Danio rerio: one gene and its partner. The protein of the gene in region 1 purifies or fractionates together with the protein of each later gene. This does not show direct contact. Links are inferred from orthologs where the notes say so. Each region holds a gene or a part of one and is shown on either strand. Other genes may lie near its edges. The genes, in order: trib2 and cop1.

Region 1 (4,478 bases):
AGTTTAATGAGAAAATGTTTATGATGTTTTATTAACACATCCACATAAATACACATAAATACAGTTTTGGAACATCTTGCAATGTAAAAATAAGCAGTTTTTTATAATTTCATAAGCATATAGTTTATTATTAGGCTATTCATAAGCTATATTAGTAAATACAGCTGATGAAAAAGCAATTATATCGTTTAAAATTTATTTATGCCACTGCAGAAAAAAATACTGTTTTCATTGTAACCGAATGTTTATGTTTATGCAACTATTTATAAAATACTAATTTGGGTGATTGACTGCTGGCGTAATGATGTGGATGATTTAACATTACAGTTAGTAGTTAGGCAGTCAAAAACTTTTCGTTTGTCCTTCTGCAGTTAATGGACTTTCGAAAGATGCTTTCACTTAGCCAGATTCTTTGCGTTTCCACTTATACAAGAAAACAACTTGTTGCAACTGACATTGTCACTGTTCACTCGGGCAATACAACCAGTTTGGTTCACTCCGCAAGCTTATGAGCTGTGTGTCCGCTTAGCACGAGGCTCCACTGAGTGTGTGCGCACACCCAAGAACTGTGAAGGTTTTTATACTTGACGTGCTCGCCGGAAACACAAGCATTTCTCATGTGAGAACTGTGCAGACGAGTATCAAATATCCCAAATTAGAAAAGGTTGGTCAGTTAAATTATGCTACTGTAAGTAATGTTTACTCAGCAATAATTCTCCAGTACCGATAGCACGTGTTAACTTCAGAGATTAACGATACTTCGGTCTTTTATAATGTAGCACTGATACTGATAAAGTACCGAATTTCAGTACCCATCCCTACACACATACTGTTTGTTCAAACTACTCATTTGAAACTGAGACAACACAATTCTTCAGTTTTTTTTGCGACAACTTAATTGTTTTAAGTTCAATCCACTTAAATTGGTAAAAACTAATAAGTTAACTTAATTCCTTAAGGAACTCAGCATTTTTTTAACAGTCTAGTCAGAATATGCATGTTCGGTTTGCAAGCAGACATCTTTATTACCTGTCCTCATTCTTGAAGACGAACTTCCTCAGCTTGAGGTCTCGGAGGACCAGGCCGTTGTCGTGGCAGTGCGCCACAGCTGATGCTATCTGATGGAAAAGTCTGGCAGCCTCTTCCTCTCGCAGCTTCTTGCAAGTGCGAACGAAAGAGTGCATATCGCCATGGCTCCTCTCGAAGAACACGTACGCTCGCGTATCCCCCAGAAGGATCTCCACTATCTGGTTAATGTTCTCATGGGTACCCAGCACGAAGTAAGCAGCCAGTGACTCCTGATATCGACTGATATCAAACACCTGGAGGGTAGAAAGAGAGAGAGAGAGAGGGGCATTTTAAATTAAATTAGAAGCAGTCATCGATTACCCAACATCTCAGGTGGGAGCGCAAAGGTATCAGCCCACCAAAGAGAAGTGGCATCTTTAGAGCTGATGCTTAATTGTGAAACAAAAGAATGGAAATCCATGCGGCACAGAGTCGAGCACCTCTGCTGCATTTTCAAGTCCCCAAAACATACACTGAATTTTGATGTTGCTTAGTAACAGACACCTAAAACAGAGAGATGGGCTAAATATAACAGAAGGGATGGACATGGCAGGCCATTCCCTTTCATCTGAAGATAAGAGGTTTTCACTAATGCCTATTCGGAGTGTCTTGGGTTTTGAAGTCATGCAGACTTGCACGCATGAATGCATGGTTGTATGCACACACACACACACACTTAAAGGGTATTCCCTCATGCTTTTTTTTTTTGCACGTGACTATAACTCATCACTCCATGCATCACAAAAGAAAAGCCATTCATTCTGCTAATGCATGCATGCAATGAGCCAGATGCATGTCATGCTTTGATCCCTATCAATAGCTGATGCAATTGCATGCATGAGTGTTCCCATCCAAAAATATCACGCATAGAGAAGCGAGTTCCTTACCTTGCACACGAGCTCTTCCCCACTGTGCAGGTGGGTGGCTCTGAAAACGTGGTCTCCCTCGATGGGCTCCAACAAAAGGTAATTTCCAATGCAAGAAATGCAGTGCGAGGAGTCCGGGGTCTCGGGGGGGCTGGGAGATCCTAAATTGGGACTGAAACTCTGGCTGGATTCTGTAGTCCTTAGGCAAGAGAGCTCCTCAAAGTCGTGCGCTTTGTGCCTCGATCTCCCATAACGCGAAATGTTAATGGGACTGGATCTCTGTATGTTCATGAGTATAGGAGGAGGTTCGTCCGGATCAGGAGGTTGATTCAGACGGATTCAATGGGAGGTAGAAGCGAATGCCAAAAAAACAAACAAACAGATGCCCTCTATTTAACACTGGGCATGAATGCAAGCGGCGATTCCCCTCGACTTTAATAATGCTGATTGCAATGCCAATGTGGCGTCATTTGAGCACACATGCGATGACGTGCATGCATGAATTGTGACCTCTATGCTTCACGGTGCCCTCAAAGAAAAAAAAAAGAAGCACGGTTTGGTTAACACACGCGAAAATGCATGTAATACGTCGCGATTGTGAATGTAAAGAGTGTGACGTCACAATCGATGCAGCGCAGCAGGTACAAATTAACAATTATTTCCTTCCCTTTTTGTGCATGAAATTTAAAGTGCCAGCCGGGTTCGGATATCCTGAGAGGGCGCTCCGGGTTCATTCATGCGGGCTTCCGAGCGAATCATGTCCGTGTATCTACCTAAATATAGCCAGGGAGATATTTTTTTTGTCCTCCAGGTCGCGAGCCGCCTTTTGTTACGCCTGGGAAGTCGATGTCCTCTCTCCGCGCGAGCACGCAAAACTCCGACGGATGGATATAATTCGGAGACAAAGGCGAGAAGGGACGGCCGACGTTCTCCCCCTGGGCCTATCCCTTGTTTCAGCAACAGGACACCATCATCATCTTACTTACGTGGCTGGAAATCTAGTCCATTAAGCGCGGGTCAGCCACAAACACACACACACGAGCCGCTGACTGACTGACTGCGCTCGCGGGACTGACTGGAGCTCCACGCGCGCGACCAGCCCCCATGACGTCACCCACGAGGCGCGCTCTCATTGGCCGCTCGCTCGGAGCTGACACATCCACAGTCCGCGCGGTCATGTGAGATGATTGTTGTCCTTGGAGTTTTAATTGAAGCAGCCGAAATTATCTGTCTATAGGGTGAATGTAGACAGGGGGAGAGAAGTGTGTTATGATTAAATGTCAGTTGGTTTCTGCAATGAAGCATAAATGACAAAGCTCTGGAGGAAGGGATTGCCAGTTTGGAAGATGAAGACGTTTTTGTATTTGGTAAGCTAATGCAATAAAAAGTTTTAGCAGAAGCAATGATCCTTAGTGGTTCATAAAGTGCAAGAAAAAAAGATACAAAAAAAAAATGAATGTCTATGGTTCCTGATGATTACTGTTGCATAATTACTAGAGGTGGAATGCAGGACACACACACATTTTTTAAACTATGATTTATGTTTATGTGCATATTACAGGAATGCATAGATTATTTTTTTAATCAAGATTAATCTAAATTAGTCTCTGAATTAATCTACATTAATCTAGATTAAAATGGCTCATTTGAATTCGGCCGAAGGCATTCAGAACGTGTGCTACCCAAATAAAAAGTCTTTGAGAAAGGGTTTTCAAGCCAGGTGGCGCATTAGACCAGGGGCTCATCTCCTGTTTCCAAAATGCATCACAATCTGCTTGAGAAACTGTTCTACTGTGATAACTGGTGATGAAAATAAATGATGTCCAATAAGATGTACTTGTGTTTATTAATTCAGTTAAACATGATTTTTGAACTGTAAGCCTTGATAAGCTCGAAACAGCATTTTTTTGATTACCTTAATCAGTCTAAATTCAAGACTGAACAAAACAGAAATGTAATTAAGACATGTGGAGTGTGCATATATTAGTGGCAATGTGGAAGTAAACACTGCAATCAAACTACTACCGTCATGTAGGACTTTGTCATATTTTCCGACAAGTACCACACACATGACTGTCAGTAAAGGACCACACACAAACATCGCGAAATGCGGAAGTATTTTCTTTCCATTTGGCATACGTTATTAAATTCCATAAAACGCTCACCAGTCCTTACTCCTTATTTGCGTCTAATACCCCAGTTTGTCATGACGGCATGAATGAAATGTTCATGAGTTAAAGTGAAACTGCCGAACTGCAGTTAAAGTCAGGTAACGTTATCCTGCTGATTTGATTCAGAAGGGCACTTTTTTGTCAGACGGCTCACCGGTCAGGTATACATCCACGCTAAAATATCAAAGTGAAAGTCACCATAGCTCGCATATAGACCCAGCTCAACTTTGAGAATAGATTAACGGCGATTTTTTTTTTTTATTGCGCAATAAGAGTTTTTCGTTAACGCAGCACGTTAACACCGATAACAGCCCACCACTGTTTTTTTATATATATATATGTCGAAGCAGTGGCGCAGTAGTGCTGTCGCCTC
Region 2 (3,827 bases), on another chromosome or scaffold:
TTTTTTTTTACAGTAGTTTTTTTTTACATGGCATGCAATGTGTTTTTACTTTGTGACCTCACAGATCTTCTTGACAAGACAATAGCTATGTTTCCATCCACCTATTTTTATGCACATTTTGAAAATATGCATAACAAATGCTTAATGAAAATACCAAAAACTATTCATACAACTGATTACGATAAACCTTTTTTTTTTGGATGAGAGAAATGCTCATAAACTGTAACTAATGTAAATACATTTACCAAATAAATTTTAGCATGCAGATCAAAGTAATGCGACTTATCATGTATAATAATAATAATGAGCACGAAGGGATGGCATTAAGTTGGCATTTCGATAAGTGGTCTCACATGGTTTCTCCTACCACAGCAAACTCCTTTTTTTCCTTTTGATATTTAGTGCTAGTTTGTCAGGAAACAGCAATTTTTATTCTATTGAAAGAAATTATGCTTTATTTGCAAATGTTTTATGTGATATTATAGTTTATAAATATGAAAGAACCCCAAAGAAACTGCAACTCTTTAAGTAAATCGTTGAAATAAAGAAACATATCCATTCTAATTTCATTATTTCAGCAATTAATTTAACAACATTTACTGTGTTATTTACTACATATTAGTGCTGACACTAAAGATCAGTCTGCTTCATGCTCTGAACACAGTCTCTGTCATCTGTTAATTTTCTCTATAAATAAATGTATAATTGATTAATTCAAACCAACACGTTCTGTAAGCTCTCAATTAATGATCAAAATGCAAATGAAAACTAATTTAAATTGAATATGTTTAATCTTTAAAGAACTAATATATTTGTTTTAATTTGGCAACATTGTAACCAGTTTAATTCGTTTTGGAACAAAGCAATCGATCTACAGGTCTGAAAGCACATTCAATGCAGCATTGTTTAACTTTTTGGATCTAAGCAAATAATCCCCAAGTGTGAAAGTGCCATCAAAATAAATCAAAACCATTAAAAAGTATTTAGATAATGTATTCATTGTAAAATTGTCAGTAACGTGTGTACTTTTAACTAGTCTTATATGTTCTGAGTTCTGTTTTTAATATATATTGACCAAAATTATTTGGCTTTATGTTTAGGTTATACTTGAAAATTAATTCAAACATTAAATCAAGTTTAATTTATATCCCGGTTGTTTAAAAAAAAAAAAAAAAAAAAGAACAAATTTTTGCATAATGTCATAATATATGAGCCTTACTGACCAATCTCTCATCTCTGTCTGCAGGAATCACAAGCTGCTCAGCGACAGATCTTAATGGAGTTCCTGAAGGAGGCCAGAAGAAATAAAAGAGAGGTTGAGCCTCCACATCTATTTTTAAGAATGTTGAATAATGCACACATGACAGCTTCAGGTCATTAACTTCTCTGTCTTTACTTCAACAGCAACTGGAACAGTTACAAAAAGAACTGAACTTTTTGGAAGAGGATATTAAACGAGTGGAGGTCAGTTTAATATGATGACCCAAAATTGTCAGATAGGAAATGGTGTCATTTGTGTGGTCTAGGAAGGATATTATGCCTCTTTTTAAATGAATATATTTAGGTGCATGATTATACTGTATACTAGGGCTGCATAAAATATAGACATAAAATTAATATCACAATATGACTTGGTGCGATTCACAATGCAGGCACATATCGGTATAAAAGCTTGATGGATTACAATAAATTGATGGATTACAATATTAAAAAAATAAGAAATTAGGATATAAACACACTGAAAGTCTTCATTGAATTATTAACATTTTTTTAAAGATTTATTTTTGACATTTTGCCTTTATTAAGTTGGACAGTAATCAGTCAGAAGGCAAAGTGGGAGAGAGAGGTGTGGCTAGGGTAGGAAAATGTCCTCGAGCTGGGATTCGACATCTAATGCCCTGAAGTGCTTCTACACCATATGTGTACACCATATGTGTAGAAGCTACTAGGCTATTGTGCTGACCAGTGTTATATGATTTAATTTTTCTTTTTACAGCACAGTAATATGTTTAGTATATTTATTTGTTTTTATTTATAAAAAAAATTATTTAGTGTGAGTTTTAACAAAAATGCAATTATAATAATGTTTTAGTCATTATTCCGTTAGTCAAAATATTGTGTATATGGCACATGAAAACATAATATAAGATATACTTACTTAAAAAATATTTTTACTTGCAAATTTCTAGTACATTACATATGTACTTGCTAATACATCCTGTTAAACCTGTACTGTGAAGATAAACCTGTGTTGCCTGAGATTGTCTTATGAAATGTGCTCTAATATTGTATTATTTAGTTCAACAAACAAAATGGCTTATTTGTTATTTAAAAAAAAATTGGAACCATTGTTTTTATTGTTACTTATGTTTTCTATGCAGATTAGTCTCTCAAATACTCTAATGATTTTCCCCTAATTCTAGCTACTCAAGTACTCAAAATGTATTGCAATATTTCTAAGATAGTTATTATTTCTTAATTTTTTTTCCAATATTGTGTGCATTTACTCCCATTAAACAATTTTAGGCAGTAAGACTTTTAAATAAGATATTGAAAGTCTGATATACGCACCAGCATTCTTTATTTAATCAAAGTTTCAAATATATTTTAATGCTTTTTTTTTTGTCTTTGTAATTGCAAAGCCGAATTTCCACCATCTTTACTCCAATCTCTAGTGTTACATGATCTTTACCTAATGCTTATTTTGTGTCTTACTATTTCTAATGTTTAAAGCCATTCAGATTTTCTTCAGGTAGTATATTCAAAAAGACGTCACAACGCAAATGTTTATAGAGTCACGTTTTAAATCACTATGACCCCATGTTTTAGACTGCTGTGCTCAACAGATACATAATACATCTTTTTTTTTTTTCCTTCCTGAAGGAAATGAGTGGTATGTATTCACCCATAAGTGACATGGACTGCAATTCAGACAGTACTGTGCCACAGGTTGAAGCTCCCTCTCCTGCACCCAGGTAAGAAATAAAAACACTAATATGAGATGACAATTAATGACAGCGATGCAATATTTTTTCCCCTGAATAAATTAAATTCCTTTTCTGTCTCCAGCAGTAGCATAATAGACCCTTCGGAATACATTCAGCCTCCTTTTGGTGGAAACTCACAGGTTAATTGAATTAATTTATTCATGATTTCTTCCTGTCTGTTAATTCATGCTGACATTTGTTCACATTTATGTCGTTTCTTTCTTACTTTTAGAGTAAAAGACAAACATGGTACAACAGCACTCTTGCATCACGGCGGAAGAGACTGACGGCACACTTTGAGGATCTGGAACAGTGTTATTTTTCCAATAGGATGTCTCGAATAACGGGTCAGCTGATTCAAAGTTATATATGGACTGTGTATTCATTTTACACATCTGCAATGCTGTTTTATTGAACGCAATCACTCTTCTTGTTCCTAGATGACAGCAGGACTGTTAACCAGCTGGATGATTTCATGGAGTGTCTATCAAAGTTTACCCGTTACAACTCTGTGAGGCCTCTGGCCACCCTCTCTTATGCTAGTGACCTTTATAATGGCTCCAGTATTGTGTCCAGGTAAGGTTTTAAAAGATTGATTAAAGTTAAGACCATGTTGTATGACTTCAGCCTAGTGTAAATCATCATAGCCAGCAGAGGGTAGTATTGTATTACTGAACAACATCCTTTTTTTTTTCTTAGCAAAAGCAGAAAATGACCTGTTTCAAAGCGTTCTTAAATATTTGTTTCTCTAAAGAATTATTTTTTACTTTGTTACTTATAAATTCCATCTTCTTCCATAAAGTATTATCAGTTAGAACATCCATATCTTTTTATTTACTA

What was found.
Region 2: the proteins of trib2 (region 1) and cop1 purify together in Homo sapiens (affinity purification with mass spectrometry; 4 studies listed by BioGRID and IntAct, counting the BioPlex papers as one, with this or other methods). This does not show direct contact. The link is inferred for Danio rerio from reciprocal best matches to the Homo sapiens genes TRIB2 and COP1.

Annotation. Positions count from the first base shown.
Region 1 is NC_133195.1:48,755,997-48,760,474, forward strand, and holds the start of trib2 (tribbles homolog 2), read right to left. Parts: upstream 2,990-4,478; 5' UTR 2,226-2,989; coding exon 1,956-2,225; intron 1,323-1,955; coding exon 1,030-1,322; intron 1-1,029.
Region 2 is NC_133177.1:38,094,652-38,098,478, forward strand, and holds part of cop1 (E3 ubiquitin-protein ligase COP1), read left to right. Parts: intron 1-1,246; coding exon 1,247-1,315; intron 1,316-1,404; coding exon 1,405-1,464; intron 1,465-2,883; coding exon 2,884-2,975; intron 2,976-3,069; coding exon of another isoform or gene 3,070-3,072; coding exon 3,073-3,127; intron 3,128-3,219; coding exon 3,220-3,334; intron 3,335-3,427; coding exon 3,428-3,563; intron 3,564-3,827. UniProt on the Homo sapiens protein: E3 ubiquitin-protein ligase that mediates ubiquitination and subsequent proteasomal degradation of target proteins.